Daphnia pulex: one gene and its partner. The protein of the gene in region 1 interacts with the protein of each later gene in a biochemical or structural test. Links are inferred from orthologs where the notes say so. Each region holds a gene or a part of one and is shown in the gene's direction. Other genes may lie near its edges. The genes, in order: E3 ubiquitin-protein ligase UBR5-like and OTU domain-containing protein 5-B-like.

What was found.
Region 2: the proteins of E3 ubiquitin-protein ligase UBR5-like (region 1) and OTU domain-containing protein 5-B-like form a complex in vitro, tested with the Homo sapiens proteins (2 studies listed by BioGRID, with this or other methods). The link is inferred for Daphnia pulex from reciprocal best matches to the Homo sapiens genes UBR5 and OTUD5.

The regions. Positions count from the first base shown.
Region 1 is NC_060021.1:11,105,883-11,112,490, reverse strand, and holds part of E3 ubiquitin-protein ligase UBR5-like, read left to right. Parts: coding exon 1-42; intron 43-109; coding exon 110-751; intron 752-821; coding exon 822-2,334; intron 2,335-2,399; coding exon 2,400-3,595; intron 3,596-3,670; coding exon 3,671-4,464; intron 4,465-4,538; coding exon 4,539-4,926; intron 4,927-5,005; coding exon 5,006-6,238; intron 6,239-6,325; coding exon 6,326-6,608. UniProt on the Homo sapiens protein: E3 ubiquitin-protein ligase involved in different protein quality control pathways in the cytoplasm and nucleus. Mainly acts as a ubiquitin chain elongator that extends pre-ubiquitinated substrates.
Region 2 is NC_060018.1:2,562,305-2,569,505, reverse strand, and holds OTU domain-containing protein 5-B-like, read left to right. Parts: upstream 1-2,475; 5' UTR 2,476-2,626; coding exon 2,627-2,758; intron 2,759-3,058; coding exon 3,059-3,219; intron 3,220-3,284; coding exon 3,285-3,528; intron 3,529-3,590; coding exon 3,591-3,746; intron 3,747-3,816; coding exon 3,817-3,973; intron 3,974-4,039; coding exon 4,040-4,720; intron 4,721-4,783; coding exon 4,784-5,019; 3' UTR 5,020-5,878; downstream 5,879-7,201. Other genes in the region: uncharacterized protein LOC124208638, read left to right, coding at 1-305; zinc transporter ZIP1-like, read right to left, coding at 660-1,787. UniProt on the Homo sapiens protein: Deubiquitinating enzyme that functions as a negative regulator of the innate immune system. Has peptidase activity towards 'Lys-48'- and 'Lys-63'-linked polyubiquitin chains. Can also cleave 'Lys-11'-linked ubiquitin chains (in vitro).

The DNA.
Region 1 (6,608 bases):
AGCAGCTCAGCTTCCGGTTCCGATATCGTTACTGGCGCACAGGTAAATAACGAAATAGCTATTTCTTTGTTATCATTTTTTAAAGCTTATGGTTGATTTTATTCTTCAGGTGTGTATGAGAAGTAGTCCCATGTATCAAGCTGGAGCCATTGGATTCTCAATCATCGATGGTGTGCCGAAAGTCGGTCAGCTGCAAGGTTCAGCATGGAGCTGGACTGATACTTGTCGATTCCGTATCGTCCCAGGACCCCCTCCCTTGGTCCGCCTAGCTCCACCTCTTCCACCCGGAGGTAGTAGTGACAGCAAACGTGGCAATGCTGCAAGTGGAAGTAGCAGCAGTAGCAACGCCGAAACCTCTAAAACATCGAGCACTCGTGAGGCGGTTGTCGAAAAACCTGACATGCCTCCTCCTCCATCGCCAGCCAGCAGCACTTGCAGCGAAACGGGGAGCGTAGCAGGAGGCTCACAAAAGAAACACAAGAGACCAGCTCCGCGCGGCGATAGCGAAGACAAACGTGGCGACGAAGAGGAATGGGTGTTAAAAGATGTCATTTTCATCGAAGATGTTAAGAATGTGCCCATTGGCCGCGTCCTCAAGGTGGACGGCGCCTACGCTGCTGTTCGTTTTCCGTCTAACAAGGATTACAGCGGCAAGGAAGCTAAAGATTTAGTTGTGCCGGCAAATAGCGGCAGCGAAGATCCTGCTTCGCTTCTACAAGATTGCCGTTTATTGCGTAAAGACGAATTGCAGGTGAGTGACGATTGTGAATATTTGAATCCACGAAATTTCCCTAATCTAATGTTACTCTTTCTCTATTTAGGTGGTAAAATCGGGCTCATCCATCCGGATCCCTGATTGTTTCCAAAGACTCCCGCGACGAGTGACGTTGGCCGATCCCGGACAGATTTTAGCCTTCTCAGTAGACGGACAAGGTATTCACACGGTCAACAAAGTTGGCTCTCAGCTCAAGTACACAATCTACAATCTGAGCACGGGAAAAGCCGAGTATGAATCGAATATACCAACGGACTATACCTCGTTCATGGGCCTCAACGTCGGACGAAACATTGGACTCTTCAATACAGGAGATGGTGACGCCTTGACTCTGCTCCGTGATGGAAATGGCACAATCTACCCTTTGTCACGTGACTGTCTCGATTCTATTCGTGATCCGCATTTGCTGGATTTGCCACCAATGCGCTGCCTGGGTTTCGGTTCCCATTCTCTGCAAGGGGTTGGTCCTGGACAGAAGACTCAAGCCATATTACTCGTACTCGTCACCGAAAATCAATTATTAATGCCCAAGTTGCTGGCCTGCGATATCGATGGCGTTCGCCACGTCATGAACTGCTTAGAAACGTCTTCAGAAGCCTATCGCCTTTCCGGCGTCCAGAGTATCGTCAACGAACGCTGTGATGGTGGTCGAAACGTAATCCACGCCTGCGTATCCATGTGCTCACCAACTTCAAACAAAGATGCGGACGTTCAAGACGAGCGAAATGTAGCACCCGTCGCCAACTCCATCGCTGATCCTCTAGATCCCCTTCCGGTGGGTTTGAGCACTTCCTCCCGGGCTGTAAGTCTCAGAGAGATGATGAGGCGTGCTGCTGTTGCTCGACCATCGGAAAGTTCCACAGCCGATTCGGGAGTTCCCAGTAGTAGTTCCGTAGTCGAAGAAAACATTTCTATTCCGACGCTCAATTGGCCACCGGAACCGATGTCTTTGGAATCGTCCAATCACGGCGATGACGATCAAGCTGGCTCGAGCAGTGCCGGCGCATGTGGCTCCTCCAAAATGGCGGCTGCTGCCGTTTCCGACCCTGTTGAACGACGTGCCAATTCCTTGGCCGCGTTGAAGGCCATCACCGAGAGTCCAGCTCTGACCCCTCATCTACAGACACTCCTTTCCGCGCGTGACGCTCAAGGTCACACACCGTTCATGCAAGCGGTTGCCGTTCGTGCCTACCCCGCAGCATTACTTTTGCTAGATGTGGCCACTAGATTATTTCGACAGATTACAACGGAAGTGGACGCTCAGAAAAAGCTGTTGCAGAGTTTCATTTTTCCATTGGGCAAGAATGGCTGCAGCCCGGATGACTCACCGCTCCATGTTCTCTGTAGCAACGACACGTGCAGCTTCACTTGGACCGGAGCCGAACACATTAATCAGGATATCTTTGAATGCCGAACATGCGGCCTTACGGGATCCCTTTGCTGTTGTACCGAGTGCGCCCGCGTATGTCACAAGGGTCACGATTGCAAGCTCAAGCGCACATCGCCCACCGCTTATTGTGACTGCTGGGAAAAGTGTAAATGCAAGGCTTTGGTTGCCGGTAATTCATTTCAATGTTATTTCTACTAAAGTCTTTGATTATTAACTCTATATCTTGATTTGTAGGCAATCAAAAACTTCGATTCGAATTACTCTGCCGCTTGGTCCACGAGACGGATCTGGTGAACATACCCAATAGTAAAGGAGAGAACATACTGCTTTTCCTTGTACAGACAGTCGGTCGTCAGTCGGCTGAACAACGACAGTACAGACCCGCCCGTTCCCGATCAACTGGAATCGCCGCTTCGAGAAAAGTTTTAACATCTGAACTGGAACCAGATATGCCTGAACACGATCTAGAACCACCGAGATTCTCCCGAATGGCATTGGATAGACTTTTGAATGATTGGTCATCAGTTAAAGCCATGTTGCTCTCTGGCTACAAAGAGGAAACAGTTGCCGGTTCCAGTACCATCGCCGAAGATCAAGCATATCTTCAAAGCCAAAGTGGGACTACTTTATTGGACAAATTTACTCACTGCATGTTAGTCAAATGTTCGGTTGAAATGCTGGACAGCCTTTTGACTACGCTCATCGCTGAAATGGAGAACAAGACTTGGTGGTCGAGACAACAGGAAGCTCGTCTTGCTGCTAGGCGATTCGTGCGCTCGGTCGTCCGGGTCTTTGTCGTTTTTAGCGTTGAGATCGCTCCTCAGTCTGGAAAGAAGAAGAATAATGCTTCCAGTGCCAGTGTTACTTCACAGCCGTTGATGAAATGCAAGCGAGTATTCCAGGCTCTTATTAATCTGGCCATTGAAGAACTGTGCGAAGCAGCTGATGCCCTGATCGTACCCGTCCGGTTAGGTGTCGCCCGTCCAACTGTCCCATTTCCGTTGGTGACTTCCAACGCCGACGCCATTCATGGAAGCGAGGAACTCTTTTCCGTCGATCCCTTACAACCGCTAACACCCCGAGCAGCCGACGAAGAACACGCGGACGGCTCTTCTGTACCAACTGGATCGCTCGGTGCTGGTTCCAGCGCTGCAGGTGGTGGTCGTGCCACCACTCGCCGTATGGAGTCTGAAGAACTAGACACCATCGAAGGTGATGAAGGCGATGGAGAAGGTGACGGCGATGCTGAAGCGGACAATTCAGAACACGAAGATGCCGAAGGCAATGGTCGCGGCGGTGATGGAACTGGTCGACGAGAAAATGCTGGTGGTGAATCGGATATGGAGCTGGACCTCCTAGCAGAGACCGAAAGCGACTCGGATGACAACGAGCACGAACATGATAACGATAATCAGAGCACTCACACTCAGGTAGGTGTTTAAAAGTTGAGCAATGAACGGATTTTTTTCATTAAATTTTGTATTACTTTGTTTGAATATTTGTAGGACAACAATTCGGTCCAACGTAGTGTGCAGACAGGAGCTACAGCCGGTTCCGATGCGGCCATGGCATCCTTGGCGTTATTCTCTGATGATGAATCTGGCGATTCAACTGGTCAAGAAGAGGATGAATCGGACGGTGGTGAAACGGACGAACAAGATACGGAGGAATTTGCGTTCTCAGACGAACAACTGGAACGCCGCAATAATAACCCTTCGTCCGCCGTACCCGCCACTGCTGCTGCCCCTGTCCGTGGTACCTCTGGCATGGCTCCGCAATCGATGATGTGGGCCATTCGCCATCGAGAGAACAATGCCGTACGTGGCGCTGGCGCCAATGGGGCCGTCGGTAGTGGAAACGCTGTCGGTGGTTCAACCACCAATTTGATGTACTTAGAACCTACTTCTCTTCGCCGATCTGCGGCTGCTGCTGCAATTGCCGCCGCCACAGCTACACTTCCCGTGGTACCGGAACCCTTTTCCATGGCTACTACAGCAAGCGGATTAGCTCGGGCTTTTGGACTGGTCGTTCGTCAGATTGCAGACCTGCTCACGATGCTTTTGGATTATCCGGCACTTGCTCCCACCCTTTCGCGAAATTTGGACATCACCAACCAAGAGTCCATTCAGCTGCAACAATTTTTGGAATTCAGGTTGAAGCCAGTCTGGGATTGGCTGGTCAACGTCATGGACTCGACCGAAGCTCAGCTACGCTTTGGAGTAGCTTTATCCAACGCTTCTACACCGAACGGAACACCTTCAAACCATATTACTTTGTATGGAAGAACACCGCTGTCAAGGTATTGATTTTTTTTTATTTCCCCCCCCCCCCCGTTCCGATTTATGAGTATCTAATTCATTTTACTTTGGTTAGAATGGTTACTGCTAGTTCAGTTTTACCTTCCTCTCGAACGGCCGCATCTTCAAGTTCGGCAGCCTCTGCACTGGCTGGTTCGGGAGCTGCACCTGGAACTTACGACGGCCGTAGAGGACAGGCTGGTGGTGCTGGCGGAGAACGGGGCAACGAAGTGCCGGATCCCTTGACGGGAAGGCGCGAATTTTTGAATTACTGCCTTTCACTTATGCGGGCTCACAATGGCGAGCATTCCGACACCCTGCCCGTTATTGACGTCTCGTCATTGAAGCACATTGCCTATGTGTTCGATGCCCTTATTTATTACATGCGGTCGGGAAATGAATCCAACCCGTACGGTGATAATGGTAGTGGTGAAGAGTACATCGCTGACATGTTCAACGAACCGGTAAGATAACATTGAGTCTTAATGAATTCATTGTAGTTTTTTTTTCACATTTTCTAAAATTACAAAATGGGATTTATAGGACGAAAACGAAAATGCTGATATGGATGAAGAAACCGGGGGAGCCATGGACACTGAATCTGTTGGTGGCGAAGAAGAAGCTGTAGTCCGGCAAAGTGGTCGCAAGCATCCATTCTTCCGTCGCTCCGAGTCGACGTTGTGTTTGGGATGCCCACAGCCGGATCCGTTTGCTCTACCGATGATTGAAGCGTTGCCTCTGGCGGACCAACCGCATCTTCTGCAACCATCTGCTCGCCGCGAAGAACTTTTTGGCGCTCCTCGCCAACCCATCACGATCCAGCCATCAGGAAATCATCCACCTGGCTCGACCAATCCTCTTGAAGTTATACCTACTCGTTTAGGACTGTCTACAAGGACACCGGAGGTACAAACGGATCCAGCTCAAGCTCCAGTTCCCCCTCTAGTGGCGACCCCATTGAATCCACAACAACCAACACTTCCTCCACTTCATTCAACTTCTGAAGTCATCCAGGAAACTCCTCAGAATTTGTCTTTGAAAGATTCGGAATTCGCTGAAGTGATTGAAGTAGCCCGTGTCAGTCCAAGTGTGGCCAGCAGCGTCATTGTGTCACCCCGACGGGCTGCTGCCACTGCTCAGAGCGTTATCGTTCGGACTGGCACTGTGAGAGACAATGCCCCTGCAGGCACAAGTACCGCAGGCAGTACTCCGTCTACCGTACCGAGAGAGAAAACGGAAGAAACGGCACCATCCGCTTCTAGCTTTTGGATGGGTAAAAATTCCACTCCGAATGTGAGCCAGTTAATTTCAAGCGATTTGCTGTTGGGGCGCTGGAGATTGACATTAGACTTGTTTGGTCGCGTTTTTATTGACGATGTCGGAACGGAAGCTGGATCGGTCATTGCTGAGCTCGGTGGATTCCCAGTCAAAGAAGCTCGTTTCCGTCGCGAAATGGAGCGCCTGAGGAACATGCAGCAGCGTGACTTGACACTGTTTAAAATGGATCGTGAACGCGGAATGCTCATTACGCAGACATTCAAGGAACTCAATACGCAATACAACACCCATTGCAGACGTGCAACGGCCACGCAACCTCCATTGGCCGTTAGTAGAGTTAAAGTGACGTTCAAAGACGAGCCAGGCGAAGGATCTGGAGTAGCCCGCAGCTTCTATACAGCCATTGCTGAAGCCATTCTCTCGCAAGAAAAATTGCCAAATCTGGACGCTGCCCAAGTTGGAGCTGGATCAAAAGCTTCTCAGTCTCAATCAGGAATTGTAATAATTTGTTTGTTTATCTTCATTGTATTTGTCATCTGATTTTCAGCTTGCTTGGGATTATTAATGAGTTAATTTATTGTACAGGCACGTCGTCGAAATCGCAGCTCCATCTCAGGAGATCAGTCACGACGTCACGGTCCACCCCGTCTGTCACAAGTTCGCGATGCTCGTCTTCGGACCTTGAACTATGATGCCCGTCCTTTCCAACCCGATGGCGAAATTCCTACCACCAACAACGATCACCTCTCACCACACGTAATTCAGTTGGGAGAAAGACTGTATCCTCGAGTGGCCGCTCTAAGACCCACCCTGGCTGCCAAAATTACCGGCATGCTTTTGGAACTCTCACCTGCTCAATTGCTTATGC
Region 2 (7,201 bases), on another chromosome or scaffold:
ATGCTTGCGATCCTCTCATGCTCAAGAAAATCATAGCAAAAGTAGTGATTGACAAAAAGAAGACTATGGAACTCGAGAAAATAAAGCGAGATACAGCCCATCGGGAGGAGCGCGAACGTAAAGCGCAAGCTAATGCCACATCCGCCCCGGCCCAATTCAAAAGAATCACAGTCGTCAACCGCAACAGACTGCGGGGGGCCGTTCACTTTCCGAAACTCGGTAAAAAACCCAGCACTGAATCCCAAGAGGAAGTCGACATGGCTCCAATCGACGAACTTCTCTATCTTTTCCGAATGCAGTTGTGAGCGGTTTCCTCTTTGCAAGACTAGAATTCGTATACAGATTTTGTTTTTAAATGTTTGTGAATGTAGCTGTGTGCTTTCATCAAAACAGTTGCATCTTTTCGATTAAGTTTCTTTTTATTTCCGCCTTCCTCGTACTTTTCTTGATTGCACTTATTTTTAGATCTTATAACTCACAAGGCGACTAGTGTTCAAGAAACAAAAGCAAACAGCATGAAAAAATTTCAAGATTATCAAATTCAAAATTGGAGAACGCGTGGACAATAGTATCATGCCAGAGTCAACGAGGAGTAAAAGAAAAACAGAGAGAGTATGTAAACAAATGAAGATCATCACGAAAGAACGAATTTTGCGGATTTAATGGTGCGATCCCATTGTAATGGTCACAAGCGCCATTGCTATAAATCCAAGGAAATGGAATGCAACTTTAACCATTCTGTCTTTCGAACTAGCAAGTTCGGCCGGAATAAGTTCGAGGAATGTGACGTGAATGAATATCCCAGCTGCAAGAGATTGAAATATTGCAGAAGCGACAGATCCACCAGTACCGGGAGCTTGTTGAACGACCAGTCCAAGACAAATCCCCAAAGGGACAGCCAGTGAGAAGATGAGAATATATTTGACTCCTTGTTGGAGAGTCAATTGCTGTCTTGCCATTGTGATACCAACTGAAAAGGCGATGAGGGCTTCATGAAACACGATCGCGAAAAACAGGTGAAAGATTTTCATTTGTTCTGTCTGCAAGCCCAAGGCCATTCCTTCAAATAATGAGTGAATGCTAATAGCCATGTACAGCAGAGTTAGGCGTAGGGTTCCCCCAGATTTGTTCTTGAGAATTCTTTCTACTTGATGGTGGCTGCAGCCTTGGGCTGGTTCCAATTGAAGAACTTTTTTAGGACTAGGTGCTTCATCGCTATCTTCTTCCTTAAAGGTGACCATAGGAACATTTTGATAAATCCTGGGGATGTTGATTTCCTTTAGAATCGAAGGACTCTCTGGTGAGACTGCTTCTAATGCTTTTTTGCCAAGCAGTTCTTCTGAAGCACTTTCATCTCTGACTGTGTTATAATAATTCAGTTTACTTGATCTATCAGTTTCGTCAAAAGCCATTGGGACTTCCCAGTCTCCATTGGTCTTGTTCTTTGAATTTTGGCATTGAAGAATGAGCTGTTCGACTGACATGATAAGGAAAAATCCTAAAATGCATGTGAATTCAGCAACAGGAAAATCAGTTGTTATATTAAGGTCTGCAAGCACTTTCCTCGTCTTGTCTTGCGCATAAGGAAGTAGTCCTAGAAAGCACATTGCGATGAAGACTCCACCAGCCATGGAATTACAGAATGAAATTATTCTTTCTGTACCACGACTAAAGTTGCAGTCCTTGGTAGATTTCTTGGCTACAATGCAGACTGGAATCAAAGCACAAATTGCCATAACAATGTACACAATCAAAGCAGTGACAACCAGCAGTACTTGGCTATCCATGTTGACTGCCACTATGCTTGGATGTGTCTGATGGACTGATGCAACTGTTTACTCTTTTAGAATTTTTCGTTTAGTAATTTTCAGCGTTCGCACAGGCCAGATGCCACTGACTCTACTCACTGTCCCTTCGCGTTATTATAAAACTCAAAACTACTTGAGACAAGGGCACTTACTGCGCCTTGAGCGAAATATTAACTCGAGCTCGGTCAACACCCTCTGTCGGTCGATTTGTATTTATTTTTATTTTTTTTGTGCTTTACATCTTCTGCTCGTTTTCTTACTTCATGCTAGAAGGAACCTACGACAGGTTCTACAATAATGCTACAATAATTAATTCACCTACCTGAAAGGTATATGCAGGGTGATTTTATTCCTTCCTGGCAGAAGTTATGCAATGTTTCACTTAAAAAGTAAAATTCCAGACACACGATCAAAACGAAGTCAATGTCACAATACTGGCAGAGCAGACAGAATGTTCGTATACAATTAACATCCTTGGTTGCCTTCTTCGAGCAAAAATTCGGAAATTGAAAAATACATATTAGCTAGAAGCTAGCTAAAAAATATTTTTCAACACAATTTTGCAAACATGAAAAATTATGTTTTTTATTCATAGCATCACTCCGAAAATTCATTCCATTGAAAATTTGAAACATTTTGAAACTCTATGTTTTCGCTTATTCATCGACATGGCAACCTCTAAATAATTTAGACAGAAAAATAGACACGGCCATCTTTCAGTGGAAAATTTGTCTTTTTCGTTGAATAGATAAAAGAAATCGTCGAAGAGTACATTTCAAGGGCGTTTCGGTAAAGAGAGTGATCTTTGCACAAGCATCATGACAATTCTGCCGAAAAAGAAGTCATCTCAATCACGGTCGGAATCCGAAAGTAATACTGATGGATCTCCCCTACAACACCTCTCAGTTGGGAGCAATAATCACCTTTCACACATTGGACCAGTACCACAGGTAAAAAAATTATTTTTATAAATATACCCCAGTATTTAAACAGCCTTTGGAAGAAATTATGGCTGGAAGTTTCAGTGCATCTTCTAATTGACATCTGAAACAACCACACAAAATGGCCGGTCCAGCTACAACCAGTACTTATGTACAAGAAGCAAATGGTGCTTTGTTCATTACACCCTTGCCATTTAGGCAGTGCTCAATGAATAAAAGCAAATAGTATTGATAACTATTATTGACAAAGATGACAAAAAGTCAGCATTGTTGATTCTTATTAAAATGTATTTTACATAAATTTTACAGGTAGCAGAAACTTGCAGTGTGTCTAGGCTGTCTGGAAGAACATCATCAAGCCATCCCCACAGCCACGGACACAGCAGCCAGTCATCATCTCGCTATGAAGATTATGACCTGGAGAGTGGTCCTAGTCAAACAAAAAGAAGAATGAGAGTCAGTCCCCATAGGTATTTAATCTCAGTTATTATTTTGTTGCATTGAAATTTGACAGGCATATTTTTTTTTTATTTAGAGCTGTCCGCCCCAAGCACAGAGATAGGAATTCATCAACCTCTGCCATACCTAGTACTAGTTCAGCCATGCACAGTGTTGCCTCTTCATCCAGCTCAGGAAGTTCTCCCACACCAAGCCATACAGTACCAGATCCTTCTTCCCATGAAGATGAATCAGGAAGTGGATATAACAGTGGAGATGAATATGGACCTGCAAGATCTTCATCTTCTAATGTCCCCATTTCTGAAGAAGAATGGGAACAGGTATGTTTCCTAAGACAGAAGTGTTATTCATAGAACTCCATCAATGCCAATATGATTATTAGAAGGAAAGATGGTTTGAGAAAAAGATGCGGAAACGAGGTTTTATTATTAAGCGGATGGGTGAAGACGGAGCCTGCTTGTTTCGTGCCGTTTCTGATCAAATCTACGGTGATCAAGAAATGCACTCAATGGTTCGCAAACATTGTATGGACTATATTGTAAGTAATTGTCCTGTTGTATTTTTATGAATTTGAAACATTACGTCTATATTTATATTTGTCATAAAAGGACGCAAACGGAGACTACTTTTCACAGTATATGACTGAAGACTTTGCCGCCTATGTGAGTAGAAAAAGATTGGAAAATGTACATGGCAATCACATTGAGATGCAGGCTATGAGCGAAATGTACAACAGACATATTGAAGTATTTTGCTACAGCGTCGGTAAGCCCTTATCATTTCGATAAAATTCGCTAAATAGAAGGCTTACTTAAATTTAACCCATTACAGAGCCGATCAATATTTTCCATGGTAAACATCAGACTGATGACGAACCTATTCGATTGTCTTATCATCGTGGAGTGCACTACAACAGTTTGGTTGATCCGTACAAAGCCACTGTGGGAGTAGGACTGGGATTGCCAGGATTTGTCCCTGGTCAAGCAGACAAGAAATTAATGGGTGATGCCATGCGACAAAGTGAAGAGACCTTAATTGAAAAAGCCATGTTAGAAGATAAAGTTAAAGCCACAGATTGGGAGGCAACAAATGAAGCTATTGAAGAGCAAGTTGCCCGTGAAAGTTACCTCGACTGGCTTAGAGAAAACGAGCGACGCAGTCGACAGCAGCAACGGTCCGGTCATTCGGCAACCACTTCCTCGAATGCCTGCGAGCTCCGTTCCCCAAGAACAACAGCAACGACGTCCTCTTCAGCTCGTAATTCGCCCAAACCATCTTTTGTTGAACACCAGCGGAAGTCTCCAAATGCTTCACCGAGAGCGTCCACTTCACGCAGCGCCACAACCTCTAGTAGTCGTGAAGGTGCATCAACTAGCCCTATCGCGTCACCGGCCGCTGGTACTTCAAGTTCAAACCCAGTGAACACCAGTAAACCCGATTGGGGATTGGGGCCAGGCTTTGAATTGGCTGAAACGGCTTCATTCCTGGGACAGTTGCCTCCTGACATGTTTGGTAACTGACGTTTATATCAACAGATATTTTCAGTTTAATTTTATGCTTTAAAATTGGCTAAAGGTTTAGCAGACTGGGAGGATGCTGGACTTTTGGCTCAAGTGCTGGCTGCATCGCAACAAGAGTATCTGGACAAGTTGAAAAAGAGCAGGGAAGCCATCGACCCTCACGACGACGAGACGATGGATAACACCAAACAGCAGCAAGAGGAGCAGCCGGTTGAACAGAGCAGTCGCGACAGTATGACGACAGATCCAACCAACGACCTGACCAGTGCGAACGGGACTAACAATAGTTAACCCAGACTCCTCAGTTGTTTTGTCTACGTGTTAGCTTTCCTTTTTTTTTCCCCCCGTCAGTGGCAGGGAGCTCAAGAGGCGTGTATCAGGGGAGGAGTCAGAAGAAAGTCCTTTCCATGCAAAATTGTTAATCTTTGATTCTCGGTCTAAATTTAGACTCGCAATGACGTCTGACTGACACAATTGGATTGAACTTGCCTGTACCCCCGTCTCCTCCACTGCCGATTCTCGCAAACTGGCTGCCAAATCATGTAAAAAAAATTCATCCGCGTTCAAAGTCCAGTGAAGCGAGAAAGGGAGAAATCACTTAAAAAAAAAAAAAAAAAAAATGAGGATTGTAATAATTCGTTACACAGCTTTTCTGTCAAAATAGCCGCGGATGCTCCTCTTGCCCTCCTGGTGCCTTTGAATATCTTTCGTCGTGGTTTTCTCCATTTCGTTTTGCGGATGCTGGAACTAACTAACGTCTCCCCGTACCTTGGCAGCAGCTGATGTGATGGCCATAACTCGCACTCTTTTTTCTCGTTTGTCACGTTCTTTTGTTTTTGTTTTCGTTTAGCTTTTTCTACTAGTTGTAGGATAGAAACACGTCAAGCTATTCCGTCTGTTGAAAGCTAAATCATATGTTTTCTTGTATCACTGACCTCTTGTGCTTTTCGTGTGTATTTGTTTTAAATCCCTCTCTTCCCTATTCTGCTCTTGACACTCTTGGTTGATGTCAGAAAAGGTCAATGGCTTTCTTCTCTTTATCTCTCGCCCGTATATTGCAGATATAAATCTATTTGATGATGACGAAAAATTTAAGAAAATGAGAGACAAAAAATAAGCTTTATGCAAATAAATTAAGAAAACAAACAGACTGCCGGTATTGTAATCAAGGCGAGGATGTGCGTACATTTGTGTATTAGAAGAGAGAAACTCAATGCAGTAAACTATTTGATGAATATGTGGAGCAGCGCGCTTGCGGAAAATAACGTGGCCCGATTTTCTTTTTTTCATAAAGGCGGCCATGCTCATGGTCAGCGCAACGAGAAAAGAATTCTATATATTTTTTGGGCCAGAGAGGGCAGGAAATTCAGCCCGCTTTTGGCTAGAAAATGCGGTTGCAATGGAATATAGGGGAAACTGTATAGACTGGGTTCAGCTCGCTTCTGATTGGTGACTTGCTCGTTGACGTCACAGATCGGCCATATTGAAAAAAGCCAACACCAGGGGGCCACGAAGGCGCAGTGGCGCCCTCGACGGTCAGACAAGAGAATTTCCAGTCTTTTATGTGTGGCCTGCAGAGTGTGGTGTGTCTGTGATTTCGGCGTTTGGGTCCGGTCGACGACACTTCTCCCACCCTGAAAACAAAAAAAAACTGTAGAGTGTGTGTGTGTGTGAGTGTGTGGTGGGGCCAAAGAAGGAATTTCTCGTGCAGCACTGAAAAAAGTCCGACATTTTGAGTTTCCTAACGCCTTGGTTCTTAGTCTCTTCAGTTTTAACCTCGTCGACCAAAAGGACCCAAAATTAGTTATTTGTGTGTCGACTCTGAAGGTAAAGAAACGCCACACAGAATTTTGTGTGTAGGATGCTTCGTTTGGGAAAATCTACGGGCTGTATGGGTTCTCTTTGTGTGTGTCTGTGTTTGGAGGGTGGAATGGATTCCCAACTAGTCAGGGCCATGGTGAGGGGGTGGGGAGGGGGGAACGAAATAATATGGGGGAGGGGTGGAGGGGACCAGACACAAAAAATACCCCCTCTAGAAAAAAGGGAGATGGGAAGGGGGATAGAAAAACATGGCGGGTGAAATTCTAGATATATATTATTTTTAAAGAAAGGCTAGGCCCTTCTGTACCCTACGGGGTTTTCTATGCTGTTTGTGGTCTCGAGATGGTCAATTGTTTCAAGTGTGGACGCCCAGGTTTATTTTTTTTCAAGATTTTCATGCTGATCATCTGCCTTTGTCTTGTTTTAGGAACCTTTTCTTGTCAAGGATATCCACACTAGCCCAAGAAATCGCCGATGGGATCGGTGCAACAGAAGACGCCACATCAAAAGTCAATGAGACAGTGTATGCTGCTGTCCTCAACCTTTGTTACAGCAGCTCGAGCTCTGGATGTGGTCAAAGCCACCTCATTCATCGAACCACACCACTACTAAGCACACTAGGAGAATGTCTGCGTGATCAACCAAGAAAGAA